5 linked regions of the Coturnix japonica genome follow. Each later gene encodes a partner of the first gene's protein in a complex. Links are inferred from orthologs where the notes say so. Each region holds a gene or a part of one and is shown in the gene's direction. Other genes may lie near its edges. The genes, in order: cytochrome b-245 heavy chain, RAC2, cytochrome b-245 light chain, NCF2 and cytochrome b-245 chaperone 1.

Region 1 (4,303 bases):
TTACACCAATGATGTTTCACGTTTTCAGAAGGTTCAAACACCAGAATTAAACTGAGGGTGTTGTGTGGGTGGTTTTGCTACCAACTCTAGCCACACCTGTTACATACAGAAACCATGCAATGGCTTTTTGCTAAATGTTGTCCTGTCGATTTTCATATTAATGGCAACCCTCCCAAATATCAGAGAGCTACAGCATCCACCAGCTCTGGAAGTATTCAAGACCTCTATGCCTTGAGTTCAGGTGGTGAAATAATCTATGGGTATTTAATAACTGCTTGACTGAGAGCAGCTAAAATATATTCTGCCTCATGGCTGCTAGTTAGGCTGTCAAGAGAGTGTCATATTTTGACAGTTGTGACTGATCGGAGCTTTGCCCCTGTGGGGTTTATGGCCTGCCAGAAGCCTCCTAAGGCAGTGAGTCCATGTTTTGGTGGCTCTTATGTCTGAGGAGCTGCCTCTTATGTCTGCTGAAGCTCAGAGCATCCTGGCTTCACACACTTGCTTGGAAGAAAAGACAGGTAGAGTACTGCTATTTCTGGGTGGAAGGAGCTGGCTAGTCTTCACAGCTAGAATAGACATCCATGAATCAGAACAGACACTTTGCCTTCCCTGTCCACTTTTCATTGTATGCTCTTTATTGTGGGTTTGGGAACTGTGATACCACAGAGGCAAAACATTCAGAAATCATTAAACTACCTCAAAGGTATTGTTAGTTAAAGAAAGAATACCTTTGGAATAAATGTTTGATGAGCTTGTAAGCTACAAAATATACATGGACAATTTTCCATATTCTTCTCTCCAATCACAGAAGCAAAGTCTTCATTATAATTATTATCATTATTTTCTATAGTGACTGGATTCCCAGGGCTGGAACTGTGTGAGAGTACAAAAAAAGAAGAAAAAAAGGGACAGTCAAGTGACATGTGTCCTTCCTGTTAACCCAAGTGGAGAGGAGATGTTAAGGTTTGCATGTATGTCCCAAGAAAAGAAGAGCTTTTGATTATATGTGGAGACTTCCATGAACCTCAAGAGATCAAAACATAAAACATTCTAGTGACTATTTGTCAAAAGGGATCTGCAGGAATGGCATCTCTGACCTGGGATGATAAAGACAAGGCCAGGGATGAGAGAATTCTTCTGTGAATTGTGTATTACAGTTCAGTGCTGAAAGTTATTTAAAGTGGCAATACATTTTTCAGCAGAAAGCCTCACTAGTTATGTTATTTATTTTATCCACAGTTCGTATCTTGAGGAAGAGATGGTTTATCTCAATCATTTATATATATATGAGTTATAAAAAGTTGGTAGAAACACATTTGAAATTGAACTATGGGTATGATTCAATGGTTAATTTATTTCCTAAATGAATGAAAAAGGAAACAGGTTGCTGTAAGCTTCTGCTCTCACTTCCTTATGAGAGAAGTTACAGACAGTGTCCCAGAAAGAACGGGGCTGTTGTGCATTCTCATCTCGGGCAAACATGGGTAACTGGGTGGAGAATGAAGGACTGTCCATCTTTGTCGTCGTAAGTACCATTTTTATTGTGATTTGTGTCCTGTAAAAAGCTCTACAGGACATTTTAATAAGCAGATCTCTTTGTGTCAGTGAATACTGTGTGTGTTTGATTATTCTCAAGCCAGGGCAGCAAGTGCAGTGACGCACTTCAAGAACATGATTTTTATGGAGCTCTCCCTGGTACATGTGTCGCTGTAGGCTTCATTGTGAACTGAGTAATGGTTGTATGTCAGCTGTTTTCTTTGCTAGAAATGAATTTAAGTACCTGCTATTTTTGGGTGCAGCAATGTCTTAAGGGAAAAAAATAACACTGCATCTCATTGTTAACGACTGAACTTCAAAATAGAAAGCAATCACAACAACGAGGTTTTCTTGCACTTTTGTACACAGAAGTAGATGTAATTGAGAGCACGGTGGATGTGTCCTGAGGATAGAAAATTAGCATTAGAGTGAGAGTCCAGAATTTAGAGCAGAAAGTCATGAATTCTTCATTAGGGCAACTTGCATTTGAATCCATTTTGTATATAGTTTGCATGGAGTGGCTGTGAAGGTATGTTCAATTCATTCCATGCAAGACTTAGAAGTACTGAAAATCTCATTCTCATTTCATCGAGATAAACTGGGAAAAAACGTAGGCAGAAGTTAGTATTTCAGAATTCTTTTTTTCACATCAGCGCAATATCACACTCAGTACAAGTATATGTGTGTGCTTATATTATAATATAATACATAACGCCATTTAAGGGATTTCTGCAAAGTTGGGTTAGTATATGTAAGTACTGTTCACTGAAATCCTTACCAAAGCATTCTGCTCTGTCCACTACAGCATTATTTTGCAGGGCTGTCCCATGCCTGATAGAAACAGACATGATTTGTATTGGTTTGCCCCAGTGAAGCAGATACCTATCAGCCTTAATGGCAGCACACACTCCCTCCACCTGCCCTAGCTGAAGAGTGTGGGTGGCAGTTAACTTTGCCACCCAGCTCCAGTTGGCAAAGGGTGCTGCAGTGTTTTGCAAAGGGTCCATGTTCTGAATGGGTCAGCACCAAGAACTATGAGAGTCCATCACAGATCGGCATCTTGTGAGGCAACTGTACTTGGAAGTAGCACAGTTTCGTTTTAAGTGCGTGAGCATTTGATCTTGAGATTAATTTTATAATAAGGATTTGGGGATTCCCTATATACTCCCTTAAACTGGTGGAAATCCCTTCACTTTCCCAGACTAAATCCATATATCTAATGTCTTCAATGCCAAACTAATCCCAGGTTTTTACGATGTCAGTTTGGGCCAAAGGACCAGCAAAAATATGGGTTAGGAGGGCTGTCAAATCACAGTTTCTGGTATACTTAACTTACATGCATGGACTGAGTTTTCTCCTAGTTCTTGGAGTTTCTTTTCTCTGTTTTTCCATCCTGGTTAATCTATTTAGAATAGAGGTGCAGTGATACAGATTGTACCAGATACCTCAGTACGTGAAATCAGCCAACAGCTGATTTGAAGGGCAAGTGGCCAAATTCATTATAATTTCTGCAGCCAGATGAGCTCCTTAAATAATTTGGAGGAGGGCTAATAACTTCTCTTTTCCTGTAGAAATCCACACTGTAGAATACACAACTGTGAGAGAATACTGCAGTATAGCTATGAAGAAGCCTGGTTTTGGGTAGTCTAAACTCTACCTAGGTGCCTACATTAAATATTTCTTGTGACTGATTTCATATTTAGAGCCTCCTACACAATAGAAAACGTTATGGTCAGGCCTCGGGTGTAATTAAGGCAATCTATATTTAGAGCTCAAGCTTCTTAGTGCTGTTGCATAGCAATTAAGTGTTCCTCTTGCAACGGTTAATATGCCTGAGGAAGTGCTGTTTGGAAGAGGCCCTAACTTTTAATGATGTTTAGAGATTCAACTGGACTCACAGACTTAACTAGACACATGTAACATTACAGTCCTTATATAATCATGTGTAAATGCTTTGAACTGTGCAAATATCTGTATTTGGGTTTATTGCCATTCTTATACTCCTCAAAGCTAATTTCTACCAGGAAAAAGAAGTATATATATATACATATGTATATATATATATATAGTCCTTGCTGAGCCCTTCATACTCAGCAGCACAGCTGTCTCTACAAATAGAAACACAGTGATCTCATTGGCCATTTTCTGTGCTGTGTAAATTCTCATGAATGATCTTTAACAACAGAGTTTAAAGTTTCCTCTTCATTTGTCTTTCAGCTTGTGTGGCTGGGGTTAAACGTCTTCCTCTTTTGGTGGTTCTATCTTGCATATGATCTCCCACAAAATTTCTTCTACACCAGAGTACTCCTTGGCGTAAGTACAAAACATACATTATCTTGGCACAGAGTGCACATGCAGCATTTTTCCTCATTTTATTTGATTGAAACTGGATGAATTTGCTGCAGCAGCAGGTTCGTGAAGGAGTCAAATAAACAGATAACTGAATGCACATAGTTGTCAGAGCTTCTGAATAGAAATCTCATCCTAAAGATGTTTCCAGGTAACAATTGTACTCATGGTAATTAAAGTGAATATGCATGGTGGCTGCTTTATTAAGGAGGAGATGAATAAGGCATTGATGTTGGAACTATTGTGCATCCATTTTCCCTTCCAATTGTTTCTCAAACAATTTACATAGGAACATATTCCTAAAAGATGAGGCAATTAATTTCCCCAGATTCCTTTTGCAGAGATGCACACATAGGGGACATTTTGGAGCTAGAGTCCTAGGCAGCAACCTTCTGAAACTGAGATGAGCTTTATGAGC
Region 2 (4,383 bases), about 55 Mb from region 1:
AGTGGGTTTCCTCCCCCCCCCCTTTCCCTACCACCCACAGAGGGAACACCTAGTACATCTGGTAGTTTTATGCTTCTGACACAGCCGCGAGGCTTGGAAACTTTCCACGGTTGAATGTTTTTGGGTTGCAGCCAACACTGAGTGACGGATAGGAAAGTGCTACACACCTGAATGGGTCAACTGCAAAAAACCTCCTGTGGCTGTGGCAGCACGAAGGTCACCAACCTTTGGAAAAGCAGTTTCCCTCGGCATTCCTTCTTTCAAGAACAAGCTGGCTTAACACCCACTGCTCTTGGTCTAACAGGCCTCCTGACAGACCTAGAAATTCTAATTAATTCTGCGTCACCGCATCCCTTCCTCTCTCAAGTGTGCCTCTATCTGTCTACCCATCAATTCAGGCTGAAGACATGAACATGTGCGCTCTTTTCCAGGCATAGCAATGCAAGCTGGGGGAAGTAAGGAGGAGCTTCAGACTCTCATTCTGAGGAGTGAAAGGAAGGAGTAGAGCACCATGTCTCTTATTTCTGAAGGTGACTGCATCCCTCTCTTTGTTGCTTAGCTCTAAAACTCTTCAAAATCCCAAGGACAAGATGAAGGATATCCTATCAGCAGTTCTCATAGGCTGCTTTAGCACAGAGTGGAGAGAGAGAAAATGGTTTGTGGGGACTCTCTTGCACAATTCTTAGCTCTTCTAGTAGCAGCTGGATAAAGAAAATTCAGTACATCCTCTGATATGTTTACTCCTCTTCATGACAAACACATAGATACACCTAATGCTTCTTTGTACTAGTAATTCAGGAGCAGATGAGGAGGAGGCACAGGACATTATTGCTCCAGGGGTGGTGGAACAAGCAGCCATGGGGTAGATGCTGCTTCCAAGAGACTGCTTATTTCACCACTGACACTGAGGGATAGACCCATTAGAGCTGGAAAGACCAAGATCACCCAATCAAACTGCCAGCCCATCCCCACCATACCTACCGACCATGTCCTCAGTGCCACATCCACACGGCTCTGGAACACCTCCAGGGACGGTGACTGCACCACCTCCCTGGGCAGCCTGTGCCACTGCATCACTGCTCTTCCTGAGAAGAAATTCTTCCTAATATTCAATCTGAACTTTCCCCAGAGAAACGTGAGGCCATTACCTCTTGTCCTTTTGATACAGGGAAGACATGGGAAATCCTCATTGCCTCATGTCCTTTGCTACTCTCACTGCAGGTCCTCTTGCCTGTTTACACCTCTTTCAAACTCTGTATGCTACAGATGAGAGGGGAAAGCCCACTCTTCCAGTTTCTCACCCTTCTCCAACATTACCTCAGCTCCCATGCAAAAGCAGTTTGGTGCCCCCAGATGTTGGCTCGGATGGGGCAGGAAGGCAGTGGGTTGAGACATGAGGTGCAAAAGAAAAAAATTACAGCAATAATCTCCCAAACCACAAAGTCATGCACGCTCCGCCTACAGCTAACGGCCTCACTGCAGAGCTGCGGTGGGAGGGGAGGAGGAACCAGAGGGCGATTGAGTGAAGTTCCCTCTTCCACTTCCTCCCTCCCTGCAACCTGACCCCTTGCTCCGGCTCAAGGTCTGATACCCAAATTTGCCCGTGTCTACTGGCTGTTTGCCTTGACCTGACTTTCCTTTGCCCCAGGCACTGTCCTCCACCACAGGTCTAAGGACATGCAAGCCATCAAGTGTGTCGTGGTGGGAGATGGGTATGTATCCCCTTCTTTTTCTGTGGGAGGGAGGAGTGGTGATGAGGGGTGAGGAAGAAGGTTGCTGCTTGCTGAGACCTCCCCAGCTTCATTTCCTATCTCTTACAGCTCTGCATTGCATTTCTTGCTCCTCTTTCTTCACCATGGCAAGGAACTTGGCTCTGAAGAGCCTGGGGGGGGAGAAGAGGGTGCTTTGAAGGGCATTTGCAAAAGTGGAACTGTCACTCACAGGCCTGGCAGATCTGGCTCACACACAGAAGGCAGTGGCATCACTGCCAGATTCAACCTATGGGTAGGAGTCAGATTGAAAATCTGAGAGGTGCAAGCGCCCTGCTGCAGGGGAATGGCTCCTTGAAGGCCATCTGCTCACTGGGGCTGGCCAAAGGAAGATGCAGAGCCATAGTGCTGATGAGATATCCTCCAGTATCTGCACATTCAGCCTTTCTTAATGTGTTGTCCATTTTTCAGTGTGTGGGGAGAGTATTTGGTGATGGGCTTCTGTGGGCGCAAGGAAAAAGGGATTGCAATGAGATGGGTGTAGGTTTATACCCCTTGGAAGCATGCACTGTCCATGTCCCATGACCTTTGGAAATCGATCTAAGCTGACAAAAAGCAAGGCAGTGGTGCTGGGGACCTGGGGTACAAGGTCTGTGGATGGGTGGGATGAGTGGATGAAGGGAGCAGAGTCCAGCAGGGAGCAGGTCATCAGGCATGGAGGTGGTTAATTCATTTCCTAGCTGGGAGCTGGCCAGAATGTTATCTGGGACAGCTATCAGGCAACAGATGAAGAGACATTTGCAGCAGCCCTGCTCCCCACAGTCACTTCCTCCTTCAGATCTACCCCATGGAGGAAGAAGTTTGCAAACAGCAATAGATGTCAGACATATTCTCAGAGGCTGGGGCAACAGGGTTGGAGGAAGAGACAGGGAATGAGACAGTGCTGTGTAAACATTGTTACATTTTGGAAAAGTGCACCAAAGGGTACAGGCTAGAGCTGGAAGAGCAACAGTACTGGGCATTGATATGTTGTCCTGTTAACCTGTGGGTTGCCCTCCATATATTATGCTGACTCTTGTAACCACCCCTCAAGGCAGCATTCCCCTTATAACACCACTGACTCCACTACACGTCCTTCTGACTGAAATCCTCCTAAATCTTTTGTCTGCCCCATAATTCTGCTTCTCTGTACACTTCCCCCACCCTCCAACTAGTTGTCACCACCCTGAGCTCTGTGGTTTTATTTCACCCCCTTCATCTCCCTCTCAGCCAAACCAGCCTTGTCATTTTCCACCAACTCAAACCTACTGACCACAGGACCTTCTGCCATCACTTAACTGACCCCTCATGTTCCCCCATAGTTGTTCTGGCCTCATAGCCAGCCCCATCACATATCACCTGCCTCTTAGCTCTCCCTGAGTTCAATCACAGGAACCTGCTTTGCCATAACCTTCACCCCTTTGGTGACCCTTTGTGCTCCTCTCAGTTCAGTCACACTAATTCAGAACCTTCTCTCCTTTCCATGCCTAACTCACCCCCTTGGCACCACAGGTCTTCTGAGCCGTTCTGCATAGAGTGAGCCTCCATGGTCATCTACAACAAGAGCTAAGAGGGAAGCTGGGGAAAGAGAGGGAACTCAGTGAGGAGGATATAAGAATGGGAGGTGGCAGAGAGAAAAAAAAGCATCAGAGCATGCTGAAGAACTGTTTCATCTTCAGCTGCTTCACAGTGTGATGACTGAGGCAAGTGCCTCACCACCAGAGCAAAGATGCCAACTGTGCATGACAAGGGCACACCAACACACAGAGCCACAGCTCTGCAAAAGTAGACTTTGCAGGTATGGATGAAAAGCTTGGAGGCTGCTTCATGGCCAGATGGAGTGTCTCCACCAGTCCTCTTGCCCATTCTGTCTTGTGCTGCTACCCTGACTTATTTCTCTCCACCCTGATGCGGTGTGTGGGTGGGAGAGGCTGAGGAAGGAGGAAGCACCAGCTATATGCGCAAAAAAAGTGTGAGCAGCCTCAGTCAGCCACAAGGAGAGGCACCTTACTGGTGGCTTGCAGCTCTTGGTAAGGTTGATAGTGCAGCTTGCAGTGGCTCATAGATGGTGCAAACTGTCAAGGCTGCGGACAGCTGGGAAGCTTAGTTCTGACATTTCTGCACCAGGACACTGTGAGGCTATCCTGGCTATGAGTGTGCAGTACTGTGCACACACTGGAAAAGGGGCTCTTATCCCCACCTGGATGTAGTCTAACTGAACAGTCTTCATACCAGACCATAAAAACAAGCTTTTGTGCTCAAAGACAACCGACTGCTCTGGGTGACAGCATATCTTCCTTCCATCCGGCAGTCAAATCTATGGCTATGTGATATCTAGTCTTGTGAATGTGATAATCCTTCCATAGTTCTCCTAACAAACTTGTAGCTTTGAGTCATGGGAGGGTTTCTCCATCTCACCCCTGTAAGACTACCTGTACTACCATTGTTCCCAGCTATGTTTTTTATTTCTCTTCCAGAGCTGTGGGGAAAACCTGTCTCCTCATCAGCTACACCACCAATGCCTTCCCAGGAGAATACATCCCCACTGTGTGAGTGACACATCTGCAGTCTGGGGGTGGGTGGGAGGCACGGAAAGCAGGTTATAAAGGAATGCTGTCGTGAACCCCCATACCAG
Region 3 (4,073 bases), on another chromosome or scaffold:
TAGGTCAGCGGGGAGAAGAAGGCGGTGGGCAGCACGGCGGGGATGCAGACCAGTGTGGACACCAGCCCCCTGCTGAAGGTGGGTTGGATGGTTGGTGATGAGCAGCACAGGCTGCATGGGGAGGTGGGGAGGTGTCGGGGTGTGAGCATGGTGGGATGGGTTGGGTTTGGGGATCATGGCCACCTCCTCCAATGGCTGAGTACTGAGGGGCCATGGGAAGTGAATCCTATGGGATCCATGAGATGACCCCCCCCTGGTGCTGCCCCTATAGTACCGTGCTGAGGTGGTGGTGCCGGAGCGCATGACCCGCATGGCTCGCTGCATCCAGGATCGAGACTTTGAGACCTTTGGCCAGCTGACCATGCAGGACAGCAACCAGTTCCACGCCACCTGCCTCGACACCTTCCCCCCCATCTTCTACCTCAATGACATCTCGCGGCGCATCATCGCCCTGGTGCATCGCTTCAATGCCCACCATGGGTGCACCAAGGTAGGGCAGCCCCCCCCCTATGGCCCCGTCCTGCTGGCACTGCACCCCTCTCACTGTGTCCCTGTCCCCAGGTGGCCTATACCTTCGATGCTGGCCCCAATGCGGTCGTCTTCATGCTGGAGGATACAGTGGATGAGTTTGTGGAGGTGGTGAGGCGCAGCTTCCCACCCAGCTCCAATGGGGACCAGTAAGGGTGTTGTCATTTGGGACTGGGGGGGTGGGAATGGGGATGGGGACATTTGGGTGGGAATGGGGATGGAGATGATGGCTATAGGCACTGGTGGGATGGCGATAGGGATGGAGATGTGGACGGGGACTGGTGGGATGGGGATGGGGATGGAACCATGGGACATGGGGTGGGGTTGGGGACATCTGGGTGCCATCCCTGCTGCAGGTTCCTTCGAGGCCGACCCGTTGGCACAGCGGTGCTGCCAGAGGAGCTGCTGTCAGCCGTGGTGATGGATCCGGTACCAGGGGCCATTCGTTACATCCTACACACCAAGGTATGGGAGGTGGGGGTGGTCCTGAGCCTCCTGCTCCGTGCTGTCCCCTAACACATCTCCTGTCCCCACAGCCTGGCCCTGGCCCACAGCTCCTGGATGCCCCCAGCCAGCATCTACTGGGCCCCGATGGGCTGCCATGCCACTCTGCCTGAGAACAGGGGACACCGTGATGGGGACACCGTGATGGGGACACCATTGGGGACAGCAGGGATGCCCAATGGGGGCTGCCCCTGGGGGGCACACAGGCAGGGACCCACCGTCCCATTGCCTGCATTGGGGCTGTGAGATGCTGTGCTCATCTGTCCCCATCCCGACCCAGATGTGGCTCCTCCCATTGCCTGGTTTTTACTCTTTTCTAATCAAATAATAGAGGTTTTCCAGCCGCAGTGCTGCTCTGAGTCCCGAGTCGCTCCGTGGTCCCCATTAGGGCTGCTCCTGCCCCATGTCACCCTATATATTCCCATGTCACCCTATATATTCCCATGTCACCCTATATATTCCCGTATCACCCCGTGTCCCCCTACGGCCCGGCTCTTCGTGGGGGCGTGTCTTTGTAATGAATGGGCGTGGGTTACTCGAAGGGGCGTCGCTTAAGGAGGGGAAGGGGTTCGGCTGTTCGGCTCCATCGCTGCCTTCCGGGTCGGGTTGGGCCGAGCCCGAACTAAGGCTGAGCTCGAACCATGGGGCAGATCGAATGGGCCATGTGGGCCAACGAACAGGCGCTGGCGGCGGGGCTGAGTGAGTGCGGGGGGGAGATGGGGAGTTAAAGGGGCTGGGTGATGGGGGGAGGGTCAAAGGGTCCCATGTGGGATGGGGATGCAGGGATGGGGGTGAGGATATGGGGAAGGGAGTTCAGGGCTGGGGGTGTAGGGTTGAGAATGTGAGGCTATAGATACGGGATATGGGGAGAGACCCCTGGCTGTGTTCCCCCCCGACCCCCCCATCCCGTTTTGGCCCAACCCCGCCCGGAGATGGAGGAAGTGAGCGGCGATGAGGACGCGGAAGCGCTGCCGGAGCGTATCACCAACATCGTGTGTCACCGTGGGTCTCCCCCCCGCTGCCCCCCAGCCCGGCCGCTATAGGGTTTAACCCCCAACCCCCCGCCCCGTTCCCTGTTTGGGCTCGTGGGGGTCCCACGCGAAGCATCCCCCGCTGTTAATAGCCGGGATGCCAGCAGTGTCCCCGCTGTCCCGCAGTCATGCTGACCGGAGGGATCGTGGCGGTGGCGGGGCAGTTCAAGGGCTGGTACTTCGCAGCTTACGCCATGTATCCTTATGGGGCTCGGGGTGGGAGGGGGCACCTTATTCTGTGCAGGCGGGGAGGGGGGGGGGGGGGTCCCTCATCTCCCTCTCTGTGGCCCCACATCGCTCTATTCCTGCCCCTTTCCCTATGGAGCTGCCCCCCAACCCTGGCCCCATTTCTGCCCCATTCCCTGTGGGGTCTCACCCCCACCCTTGGCTCCAAACCCCCCTTTTCCTTGACCCCCATCCCCCTGCAGTGCTGCAGGCGCCTTCGTCTGCCTGTTGGAATACCCACGCAGCAAGAGGCAGAAGGGCTCCACCATGGAGCGCTGGTGAGTGATGGGGTGCTATTGGGGTGCCTATATATATTTAGGGGGGGGGTCTTTTGGGGCCGGGTGCCCCCCTGACTCTGCATATTGCCCCATAGTGGCCAGAAGTACATGACAGCAGTGCTGAAGGTGTTTGGACCGCTCACCCGGAACTATTACATCCGTGCCATCCTGCACGCAGCGTGAGTGGGGTTGGGGCTGGGGGGTGAACCTGAACCCCCCCCCCTTTTAACCTTCCCCTGTACCCTCAGGCTGGCCGTCCCTGCTGGCTTCCTGCTCTCCACCATCCTGGGCACCGTCTGTTTGGGCATTGCCAGTGGCATCTACCTGCTGGTGAGCTCCTCTGGGGGGGTAATGGGGGCTGATTATGGGGCTGAAGGAGGGGGCTCCCTGCTGACTGCTCCCCCCTGGCCCTGCAGGCAGCGGTGCGTGGGGAGGAATGGCGACCCATTGAGCAGAAGCCCCGCGAGCGGCCGCACATGGGGGACACCATCAAACAGCCCCCCAGCAACCCCCCACCCCGACCCCCTGCTGATGCACGCAGGAAACAGGCAGCAGAAGTGGGGGGGCAGGTGAACCCCATCCCTGTAGAGGCTGAGTAACACGGAGCTGGGGGTCCCAGTGCTGCACTCACTTCCCTACTGTACCCCTCACCCCCCCATTGGTCCCCAGACCCCTAGGGGTGCTCATCTCCCCTCCTTCCCCCCCCTTGGTTCCTCAGAATCCCTGGGGGCTGCTCAGGTGCCCCCATATCCCAAGGAGCTCCCCCAGCCTCACAGCCCCATTGTGGGCTCACGCAGCTCTGCTTGCTGCGCCACCTCTTCACGTTTTATACATTGTCTTTTTTCTTTTCTGGTTGCTTTTTGCAATAAAAGGACCGAAAGGCCCCAGATCCTTCCTGATCACACCCCATTCATGTGCCCTGGGTGTGAGTTGGGAGCTCAGTGCCCAAATCTTTAGTGACCCCAGCGATGGGACAGACCTGCAGTGGTTAGGGTTAGGGTACCCAGAGGTGACACCCCCAGCCCCATATCCCCTCTCCCCCCACCTCCAGCACCCATGGGTGCTCTAAAAGCATATGGAACAACCCCGGTAGGTGGCGCTGAGTCCATGGGATGTGAGTGCTTGGGGCAGAGCTGTGAGAAAGGAGTGGGTGGTGACAGGGTGCTGGCATGGGGCCGCCCCCATTCCCCCCCCTTCCCTCCCCATTGCCTCCCCCTTCCCCTGGGTGTGCTTTGGGGATGGGAGATGCCCCCCAGCATCCACTGGGGTGGCTGGGATGGGGGTTCCCAATGCACCTCTATCCCCGCATCCTTGGCACCTCCCCTCCAGCATCCACAGGGGGACCCTGTGCACCTCAACCCTTTGCCCTCCCATTTATCCCAGTGTGGCACATTGTGGGGTCAGGCTTTTATTTTCAGGCTGGCGTTCAGTAGCACATGGAGGTCTCAATAAATAGCACTGAGGGGGAATAAATAACTGGGGAGGGCTAAGGCAGAGCCCAGGGCTG
Region 4 (3,564 bases), on another chromosome or scaffold:
TGTCCTGCACCATCCAGCTGAGTGTTCAGAACCAGTGGGGGGAAAGGAGGAGAGAAACAAAGGAGCAGAGTTTAGGCCCCCCTATGAGGTAGAACAGTAGCATCACCCCCTGCTCCTGACATGATGCTGGCTTCCATTCCCAGGGCTCTTGAAGGGCAGCCACACCGTGTCCTGTATGAGTTCATCCCTGAAACTGCTGAGGAGCTGCAGGTCCTGCCAGGAAACATCGTCTTTGTCCTGAAGAAAGAGAAGGACAACTGGGCTACGGTGATGTTCAATGGGAAGGTAGGGGGTCTGCCTGGCACAAAAGGGAGATTTACAGAGGCCTGGAAGGAGTTTCTGAACCCAGTTTCCTTGCATCCCCTATTTGAGGGGCTATGAGCTGGTAGAGGCAACCTCCTGGTGTCCTGCTCCTGTTGCTCCTACCAGGCAGGGGCCAGATGTGCTGCTTTGTTTGCCTGACCACATGTGCTCAAGGCAATAAAGTGAGCTGGTTCACCCTTGCTGCCCATCTTGGGGTGCCATACAGAAATCATTCCTTCAATCTCCTGGACGGTCGACTAACACCATCTGTTCCCTTTGTCTCTTCCCTGCAGAAAGGGATCGTCCCCTGCAACTTCCTTGAGCCCATGGAGCTCCAGCACAAGCTGCACGTCCAGGTAAGGAGCCCAGGAGGAGCTGGTGGCCCCAGGAAACCACATAGATCACCCAGCAGGATCCATGCCTGCAAATCTCTCTTACAATGCTGTGGGACTCCTGGCTCATGGCTATCTCATGGCTACTGCCCTGTTCCACCCCAAATCAATGGACAGCAGGCAAAGCTTAGCCCCAGGACTCCTGCCTTGAGTAGCAGGACGGGGTCCCCAAGGCAGCAGCACCCCTGGGCTGTGCCTGCTCCCCTTAGGGATGCTGACTGCCTGCACTGTCCTTTTCACACTGGCACAGGAGGAGGCCCCTCCCGAGCCCGACATCCCTGAGCCACCCAGCAGCACCGCTCCAAGGCCCCGGCGGCCAGCACCAGGTCAGTGTATGGAGGGGAGGGATGGGGGAACTGCAGGGACAGTCTCTTGTGTACTGTGATATGGAGAACCAGGGCTGGGGGCCATCTCTGCCTCTTTTATAGCGTGGGTTTAAATCAGGAGGCAATGCTGCAGCTGCAGCACCGAGGATGGAACAACAACAAAGCTCGAGGTCCCCTTTTTGCTCTTAATTAGGGCAGCAGCTAATGGGAAAAAGGGCCTGGGGAAAACAACAGGGCAAGTGACCCAGCTTGCATAAGTCCCAGAGCACAACATGCATTACAGGCTTCTCCATACAGCAGGGCAGCTGGGAGCTACGACTGCGCTGGGAAGATGTGCTGCTGGTGCTTCTCAGCACCTGGGGTAGGGCTGGGGCCAGAAGCAACTATATGACAGAGGGCAAGATACATTGTTGTTTGTGCTTTTTGTGCTTGCAAATGCATCAGTAACATCAAAGCCCACAGAGGAACAGCATCGCACCTAAAGCTCCAATCCCTACAAACACTGAACAGGCCCTACATTGTGAGCACAGTGACCACCTGAAACAACAGCAGGCAAGGCAGAGCCCTGGCCTCTTTGTGGTTACTGAGGAACCCCACAGAAGAACCTCACTGTAGCTGATACTGATCTGTTTGGGCAACCACAGCCGGCTCCAGGGCTGGGTGGTGCTACAGATAACAGCAGGTGTTGAAGAGAAGGGCTGAGAGGATCTGGAATCACATTTATGCCCACAGCAGTAAAGCTTACACTGTGCTCCACTTGTTGACCCATCTTTTCCTTCCTCCTCAGATTTCATTCCTGTTACATCAGCGCAGCAGAGAGAAGCCAATAAGGTAAGACCTTGTGCTGCAGTGAAAAGGTAGAGCCCAGATCCACATCACATACAGCTTGGGAGAGAAGCCTGATGCCCCAATTCACCACCTGCAGGAAACCGAACCGGCTGTCCCCAAGCCCTATATTGTCAAGGTGCATTACAAATACACGGTTGCCATGCAAGTCAAACCAGACCTGTCCTACAAGGAGCTCCTGGGCCTCATTTGTGACAAGCTGGAGCTGCAACCTGAGCACACAATGCTGAGGTGAGAACTGTCTGCTGCAGGAGTCAAGTTTTCGTGGCTCTCCCCTTACCTGTGTCCTCTGGTGCCCAGGTACAAGTCTGCAGTCAGCAAAGAGCTGGTGACTCTGAGCATGCAGAACCTGGAGGCAGCTTGGAGCCACAGCAAGGATCAGTGCCTGACAGTGTGGTGTGACTGCACAGAGGTGGGTGGCAGCACCAGCCACCAGCTCTTCTACTGGTGCCGGCAAGGGGCTCAATGGCAGAGGATGAAGCCTAAGCAGAGCTTATCTGCCATGATCTGGAACAAAGCAGAAGCCGCATGGTGACTTCACCAGCTTCTTTCCTGCCCTAGGGAGAGGGATTTTTACCTGACAGCAAACCAGAGGAGCCACAGAAGGCAACAGCAGAGACAGGACCAAGCCAAGTGGTAGCACAGTACAGTTATGAGGCCACCCAACCCGAAGACCTGGAGTTTCAGGCAGGAGATGTGATACTTGTTTTATCCAAAGGTAATGGTGCTCCTGCCACTGTGGGAGAGGGGAGGCTATTGTCATGGTTTTGTAATGTTACATTGCTATTTTCCTGCAGATGATCTTAACGTTCTGATCTGAGGCCTGCCTGCAGCACAAGAGGGTAATGGTGCTCCTGCACATCCCTAGGGTGACAAAAATGGCATCAATTTTATCTTGCAGTGAACGAAGACTGGTTGGAAGGGCAATGCAATGGAAAGATCGGCATCTTCCCCTCTGCTTTTGTTCGAGATGGTAACACTAAAGACCCAGAAATGTGATTTCAGAAGAGTTTAAGGAGACTGAAAGAAATTAAGAATTCAAGTGCTGCAAATAAGAAGTTCCCATGTTAATTACTGCATCTGAAAACAGACCTAAAAGTGCAAAAGCAGGAAAATAAAACATCTTTGCAATTTATTTCATTTTCTTTCAAATTGGAAAATAAAATAAAACTTTAAACCTTCTTTCAATTTTCTCCAGAAAAATAATGTAATAATGTGTTTTTCAAAGCCCGCAGCTCAGTTACATGGGGGGAAATAAACGTAACCACACAGACCTGGATGAAGAGAACATGGTTTAATTAAAGGCAAAGCTGATTTCAGCAGCTGCAGTTCTTGCACAGACAGACAAATAACACAAAAAAAGCTTACGACACAAACCAGTTTCTGTTGGGGTCCCTTCCCTCGCTCCCCCAGGCACCGGAGGGCAGGATGGGGGTCCCAGCCCAGAGCCGGCCGTGTTCCTGACACCGGGTTCTCATGCACAAGTGGAGCGGTGCGCTGGGACCTGGCACTGCCAGGAGTGAGGTGGTGAACCTGGGTCAGCTCGCTGAGGGTGCAAGAGTCAGCGGCAGTTCAAACACTGGAATGTCGCAGCTGCCGGGGTGCACAGCTCAATACACAAACTGAGGGGGCTGGGATAGGGGTGGGGAAAGGGGGGTAGGGGAGGGGGGGGCTGAGTCAATATTAGCATTGGGTGG
Region 5 (3,661 bases), on another chromosome or scaffold:
CATGCAACTCTGTCGTCACTGCGACGCCCAGATCTTACCTCTAGCAGAGCTCCTCTCTCACAGCTCTTCCCACCAGCCTGTAGCTGGTGCACATGCAATTATTTCTCTCAGGTGCAAGACTCTAACACTTGCTTTTGTTAAACCTCATCCTGGTTCTTTATTGCCTCAGCTCTCCAGCCTGTCCAGGTCTCACTGAATGGCAGCACAGCCTTCAGGCGTGTCAGCCAATCCTCCCAACTTCGTGTCTTCAGCAAACTTGCTGAGGGTGGTCACTATCCCCTCATCAAGGCTGTTGATGAAGATGTTGAACAAGACCGTACCATGTTGGTCATCCAGCAAATATCTGAATAATTGAAATCCCCCATAAGTAGCAGTGCCTGGGAGTGTGCTGCTACTTCCAGTTGCTTATGGAAGGCCTTATCAACCTCCTCCTCCTGATCAGGGGGCCTGTAGTACACGCCCATAACAGTGTCACCTTTGCCAGCCTGGCCCTTGATTCTCACCCACAAGGTCTGGACTTCTACATCACTCTCCCCCAGGTGGAGTTCAATACATTCTAGCTGCTCTCTCACATAAAGAGCAGCTCCACCACCCCGCCTTGCCAGCTGATCTTTCCTAAAAAGCACGTAGCCCTCCATGTTGTCATTCCAGTCATGCGAGCTGTCCCACCACGTCTCCGTGATCGCAATGAGATCATGGCCACGTGACCGCACGCAGAACTCCAATTCTTCCTGTTTATTCCCCATGCTTTGTGCATTGGTATACAGGCACTTGAGAGAGGCAGCATCTCCCCACCCCTCTCCGTGCCTTTTAACTCCATTGTCTGCACCCAGCGAGCTCTGCTTTGAGTCTTGAACTGCCGCCTCAGACCCAGCGGCCCTCGTTTTGTCCCCTTCCCCCATCCTACCTAGTTTAAACACCTGTCAATAAGTCCTGACAGTTCCTCGGCTAGAACCCTCTTACCCCTTTGAGACAGGCCGCTTCCGTCTGCAGCTGTCATGCCAGGAGCCAAATAAATTGCCCCATGATCAAAAAAACCAAGACTCCTATGTCTGCACCAACTCTTTAACCATTTGTTTAAGAGGTGGGTTTTTAGGTCCAACTCAGTATCCCTCCCTGCCACTGAAGGTACAGATGCAATAACCACCTGCACACCTGTTCCTTCGATTACCCGCCCCAGTCCCCTGAAATCATCTTTGATAGCCTTCAGGCTTTTTTTACTAACTTCTTCACTGCCAGCCTGAACTATCAGCAGGGGATAGTAGACAGAAGGGCAGATCAGACTGGGAAGTCTCCCAGCAATGTCCCTGACAAAACTCTTAGGTTCCACCGAGATTTGAACTCGGATCGCTGGATTCAGAGTCCAGAGTGCTAACCATTACACCATGGAACCGCTTGATGATATGGAACTGCTGATATGATTATTATTTGGTGTAACTTTTTCAAACCACTTGCAGCAGGAACTGTGAAAAGAGGATTAATGTGTTCTGACAAAGAATTGCTTGGCTTGATGTGCATCTGTATGTAGGATGCTGTCAGTCGTGCTCTGTCATATCAGCTGGCCCTTTAAAGGATTGTTCTCAAGAGTCATAGAATGACCAAGGTTGGGAAATACCACCAAGTTCACCTAGTCCATCCACCCATCACCACTATTTTTCACTAAACCACGTCCCTTAGTGCAGAACTTCAGTAATTCTTGAACACCTCCAGGAATGGAGACTCAGCCGTCTCCCTGGGCAGCCCATTCCAGCACCTGACCTCTCTTTTGGAGAAGAAATTAATGTACGTGTTATAGTTTCATCAGCACAGTTCTATTAACTCCTACACTGTTTTCTCTTTCCCACAGTGATGTGGAAGCAGTTGCCAAGCTTGTCACCAGTTTTCTGGAATTGGACAGAGCAGAGAGCCAAGGAGATGTCTATGAGAGCAGCGAAACAGAGCCTAGTGATGCTGATGAACCCCAAGATGAATATTAATAGTCATGAGCTGAAGAAAGCGGAGACATTCAAAGATCTGGAAATGACAGATCGGTTGTTCTTCATTATAAAATTCTTCAGTCTTGACTTGGGCATTTCTCCACACGTGCACTTACAGTGGGAGCAGTCTGTCTTAGGGCACCTTCATTAGTGCTAAACTGCTTCAAGAGCTGTGCTCCCAATTGTAGAATTGAAAGCAAATTCTATCTTAGTTCCTGGATGTGGACACTGCTGTCTTTTGAACTTTGTCAGCTCGTCACAATTGCCTAGGAGTAGTTATTTATTATTGTACAGGTTTAAAAATGTACTTTCCCATTAATGAATTGGAGCTATAGATGTAAGCTTCCACTTAATGCAAAGATCTGCAGGTACAGTATATGAAATGCAGAATAGCTGAATTTAACTCAGAACACAGTGCTTTGAGGTTTTTTGAAATCCTGTAAATGAGTGAATATAATGCTAAATTGGTCTTAAGCAGCTTAATATATGCACTAAGGTGATGCAAGGTAGTGGCACTTTTATATTCTCTACTACTGACTTGCCATTAGCAATGGAAATCATGAGTGATAGTCTGGATTTTTAAACATCAGGTTGCTCAACTTATCTGACTTAGAATTAATAAGGAGCCATAACTAAGAACCAACAAATGATCATGTTGGTCATTCAATGCCTTTATGTTCTGTTTAACTTCTGGGAATAGACTACCCAAAGAATAGCCTTATTCTAGACTTAAATGTTTACTATTTTAACTGTGTATTTAGGAAGGAAGAAAATAGACATTCCTTCAGGTAGGGAAAAGACTGATGTCAGACACCATGGCAGCCTATGTTTGTTTAGTATTTTGCTGTAGTAATGAGGAAGTAAATAGTAACTTAGGCATTGCTTTTAAGATAGCTGGGCTCAGTGTTTGGCTTGGGCCCGTGTGCTACTCTGTGTGTACTGCCTCTGTTCTGACCACTGTTTTCATAAATGGTTAAAATGATGAATTTTCCAAGGTACTCTATGAAGTAAAAGCTACCTCTTTTAGTCAACATGTTCTGTCTTGAGCTGAAATGTCATTGTGCCTCTATCAACTTGCTGGTACTACAAGTACAGAAATTGTAAGAGCTAGAAGTTCCTTTCCTGTGCTAGAACTGCTTATACTCGAGTTTACCAACTTGTGTTAGGAGTTGTATGGAGTTAAGACCTGAATTAGAAAATACTGATAGTTTCCTCTGGGAGGTCTGAATAGCCTGCAAGGTGATGGAGCAATCTGCCTCCATGCCAGCAGTTAAATGTCTGTTGGCCTCTGTTTCTTCAGGACTTAACCCACATTCCTATTAAAAAACACTCTACCTCTAAAGAAGTGAAAGTTACGAAACGATTTCAGTCGTGTGTTCCATTGGTAACAGAAACTGTGTACGTTTATCTGACCAAAGAACAGGTTGATCTCACTTCCAGCCATTTGTGAGACCAACACGCTCTTACTGCTGGTTTGAAAGGCTCATCCAAGTGTAATGGGGAGCTGCTCTTGATGCAGCCTGACTGTGGCACCGAACCAGGTGTGTTAGTATTAAATAAGAACTTGTAATCGTGTCAGGTATCAAAACAGACCTCTATCTGCAGATGTGCTCTTGAAGTACTCCAAGTTTTCTGATTACGTTGCTTTCAGTCTCTGCCTCGTCGTGGGGAAGATACAAATAATG

What was found.
Region 2: cytochrome b-245 heavy chain (region 1) and RAC2 share a complex: the UniProt entries of both Homo sapiens proteins name them as parts of the phagocyte NADPH oxidase complex. The link is inferred for Coturnix japonica from reciprocal best matches to the Homo sapiens genes CYBB and RAC2.
Region 3: the proteins of cytochrome b-245 heavy chain (region 1) and cytochrome b-245 light chain are in contact, whole or in part, in a cryo-EM structure (PDB 8X2L), measured with the Homo sapiens proteins. The link is inferred for Coturnix japonica from reciprocal best matches to the Homo sapiens genes CYBB and CYBA. Residues at the interface, in NP_000388.2 of Homo sapiens: Thr116, Ile117, Leu120, Phe121, Val123, Glu124, Asn128, Asn133, Lys161, Asn162, Pro163, Gly166, Leu167, Ala170, Val180, Thr183, Leu184, Ile187, Leu188, Thr191, Ser192, Thr194, Lys195, Thr196, Ile197, Arg199, Ser200, Tyr201, Glu203, Val204; in NP_000092.2 of Homo sapiens: Gln3, Ile4, Glu5, Trp6, Met8, Trp9, Glu12, Gln13, Ala16, Ile20, Thr23, Val27, Gly31, Phe33, Thr34, Gln35, Arg56, Arg59, Met65, Gly102, Phe103, Leu104, Leu105, Ala106, Ile108, Leu109, Ala112, Cys113, Ile116.
Region 4: cytochrome b-245 heavy chain (region 1) and NCF2 share a complex: the UniProt entries of both Homo sapiens proteins name them as parts of the phagocyte NADPH oxidase complex. The link is inferred for Coturnix japonica from reciprocal best matches to the Homo sapiens genes CYBB and NCF2.
Region 5: the proteins of cytochrome b-245 heavy chain (region 1) and cytochrome b-245 chaperone 1 are in contact, whole or in part, in a cryo-EM structure (PDB 8KEI), measured with the Homo sapiens proteins. The link is inferred for Coturnix japonica from reciprocal best matches to the Homo sapiens genes CYBB and CYBC1. Residues at the interface, in NP_000388.2 of Homo sapiens: Trp28, Asn74, Leu75, Leu76, Ser77, Phe78, Leu79, Arg80, Gly81, Ser82, Ser83, Ala84, Cys85, Cys86, Trp206, His210, Phe212, Pro266, Met268, Trp270, Lys271, Ile273, Tyr280, Tyr324, Phe326, Lys328, Leu335, Glu336, Trp337, His338; in NP_001028218.1 of Homo sapiens: Arg22, Leu26, Ala37, Ser41, Gly42, Asp43, Trp47, Phe50, Tyr51, Phe57, Gln61, Asn62, Glu64, Lys77, His97, Asp98, Gln99, Val100, Val101, Val102, Leu103, Arg108, Ser111, Glu115, Val117, Arg118, Tyr119, Phe120, Arg129, Ala131.

What each region holds. Positions count from the first base shown.
Region 1 is NC_029516.1:102,024,806-102,029,108, reverse strand, and holds the start of cytochrome b-245 heavy chain, read left to right. Parts: upstream 1-1,400; 5' UTR 1,401-1,480; coding exon 1,481-1,525; intron 1,526-3,753; coding exon 3,754-3,849; intron 3,850-4,303. UniProt on the Homo sapiens protein: Catalytic subunit of the phagocyte NADPH oxidase complex that mediates the transfer of electrons from cytosolic NADPH to O2 to produce the superoxide anion (O2(-)).
Region 2 is NC_029516.1:46,919,996-46,924,378, forward strand, and holds the start of RAC2 (ras-related C3 botulinum toxin substrate 2), read left to right. Parts: upstream 1-1,503; 5' UTR 1,504-1,677; coding exon 1,678-1,712; intron 1,713-4,225; coding exon 4,226-4,297; intron 4,298-4,383. UniProt on the Homo sapiens protein: Plasma membrane-associated small GTPase which cycles between an active GTP-bound and inactive GDP-bound state.
Region 3 is NC_029526.1:16,406,153-16,410,225, reverse strand, and holds cytochrome b-245 light chain, read left to right. Parts: upstream 1-1,418; 5' UTR 1,419-1,435; coding exon 1,436-1,731; intron 1,732-2,189; coding exon of another isoform or gene 2,190-2,259; intron 2,260-2,491; coding exon 2,492-2,566; intron 2,567-2,661; coding exon 2,662-2,745; intron 2,746-2,814; coding exon 2,815-2,896; intron 2,897-2,982; coding exon 2,983-3,165; 3' UTR 3,166-3,460; downstream 3,461-4,073. Other genes in the region: MVD (diphosphomevalonate decarboxylase), read left to right, coding at 4-78, 272-490, 562-677, 885-993, 1,065-1,145. UniProt on the Homo sapiens protein: Subunit of NADPH oxidase complexes that is required for the NADPH oxidase activity that generates, in various cell types, superoxide from molecular oxygen utilizing NADPH as an electron donor.
Region 4 is NC_029523.1:4,321,372-4,324,935, forward strand, and holds the end of NCF2 (neutrophil cytosol factor 2), read left to right. Parts: intron 1-143; coding exon 144-285; intron 286-596; coding exon 597-659; intron 660-945; coding exon 946-1,021; intron 1,022-1,808; coding exon 1,809-1,852; intron 1,853-1,946; coding exon 1,947-2,098; intron 2,099-2,167; coding exon 2,168-2,279; intron 2,280-2,428; coding exon 2,429-2,585; intron 2,586-2,664; coding exon of another isoform or gene 2,665-2,687; exon of another isoform or gene 2,688-2,768; coding exon 2,769-2,866; 3' UTR 2,867-3,049; downstream 3,050-3,564. UniProt on the Homo sapiens protein: Subunit of the phagocyte NADPH oxidase complex that mediates the transfer of electrons from cytosolic NADPH to O2 to produce the superoxide anion (O2(-)).
Region 5 is NC_029533.1:3,011,859-3,015,519, forward strand, and holds part of cytochrome b-245 chaperone 1, read left to right. Parts: intron 1-1,321; exon of another isoform or gene 1,322-1,393; intron 1,394-1,846; coding exon 1,847-1,976; 3' UTR 1,977-3,661. UniProt on the Homo sapiens protein: Functions as a chaperone necessary for a stable expression of the CYBA and CYBB subunits of the cytochrome b-245 heterodimer. Controls the phagocyte respiratory burst and is essential for innate immunity.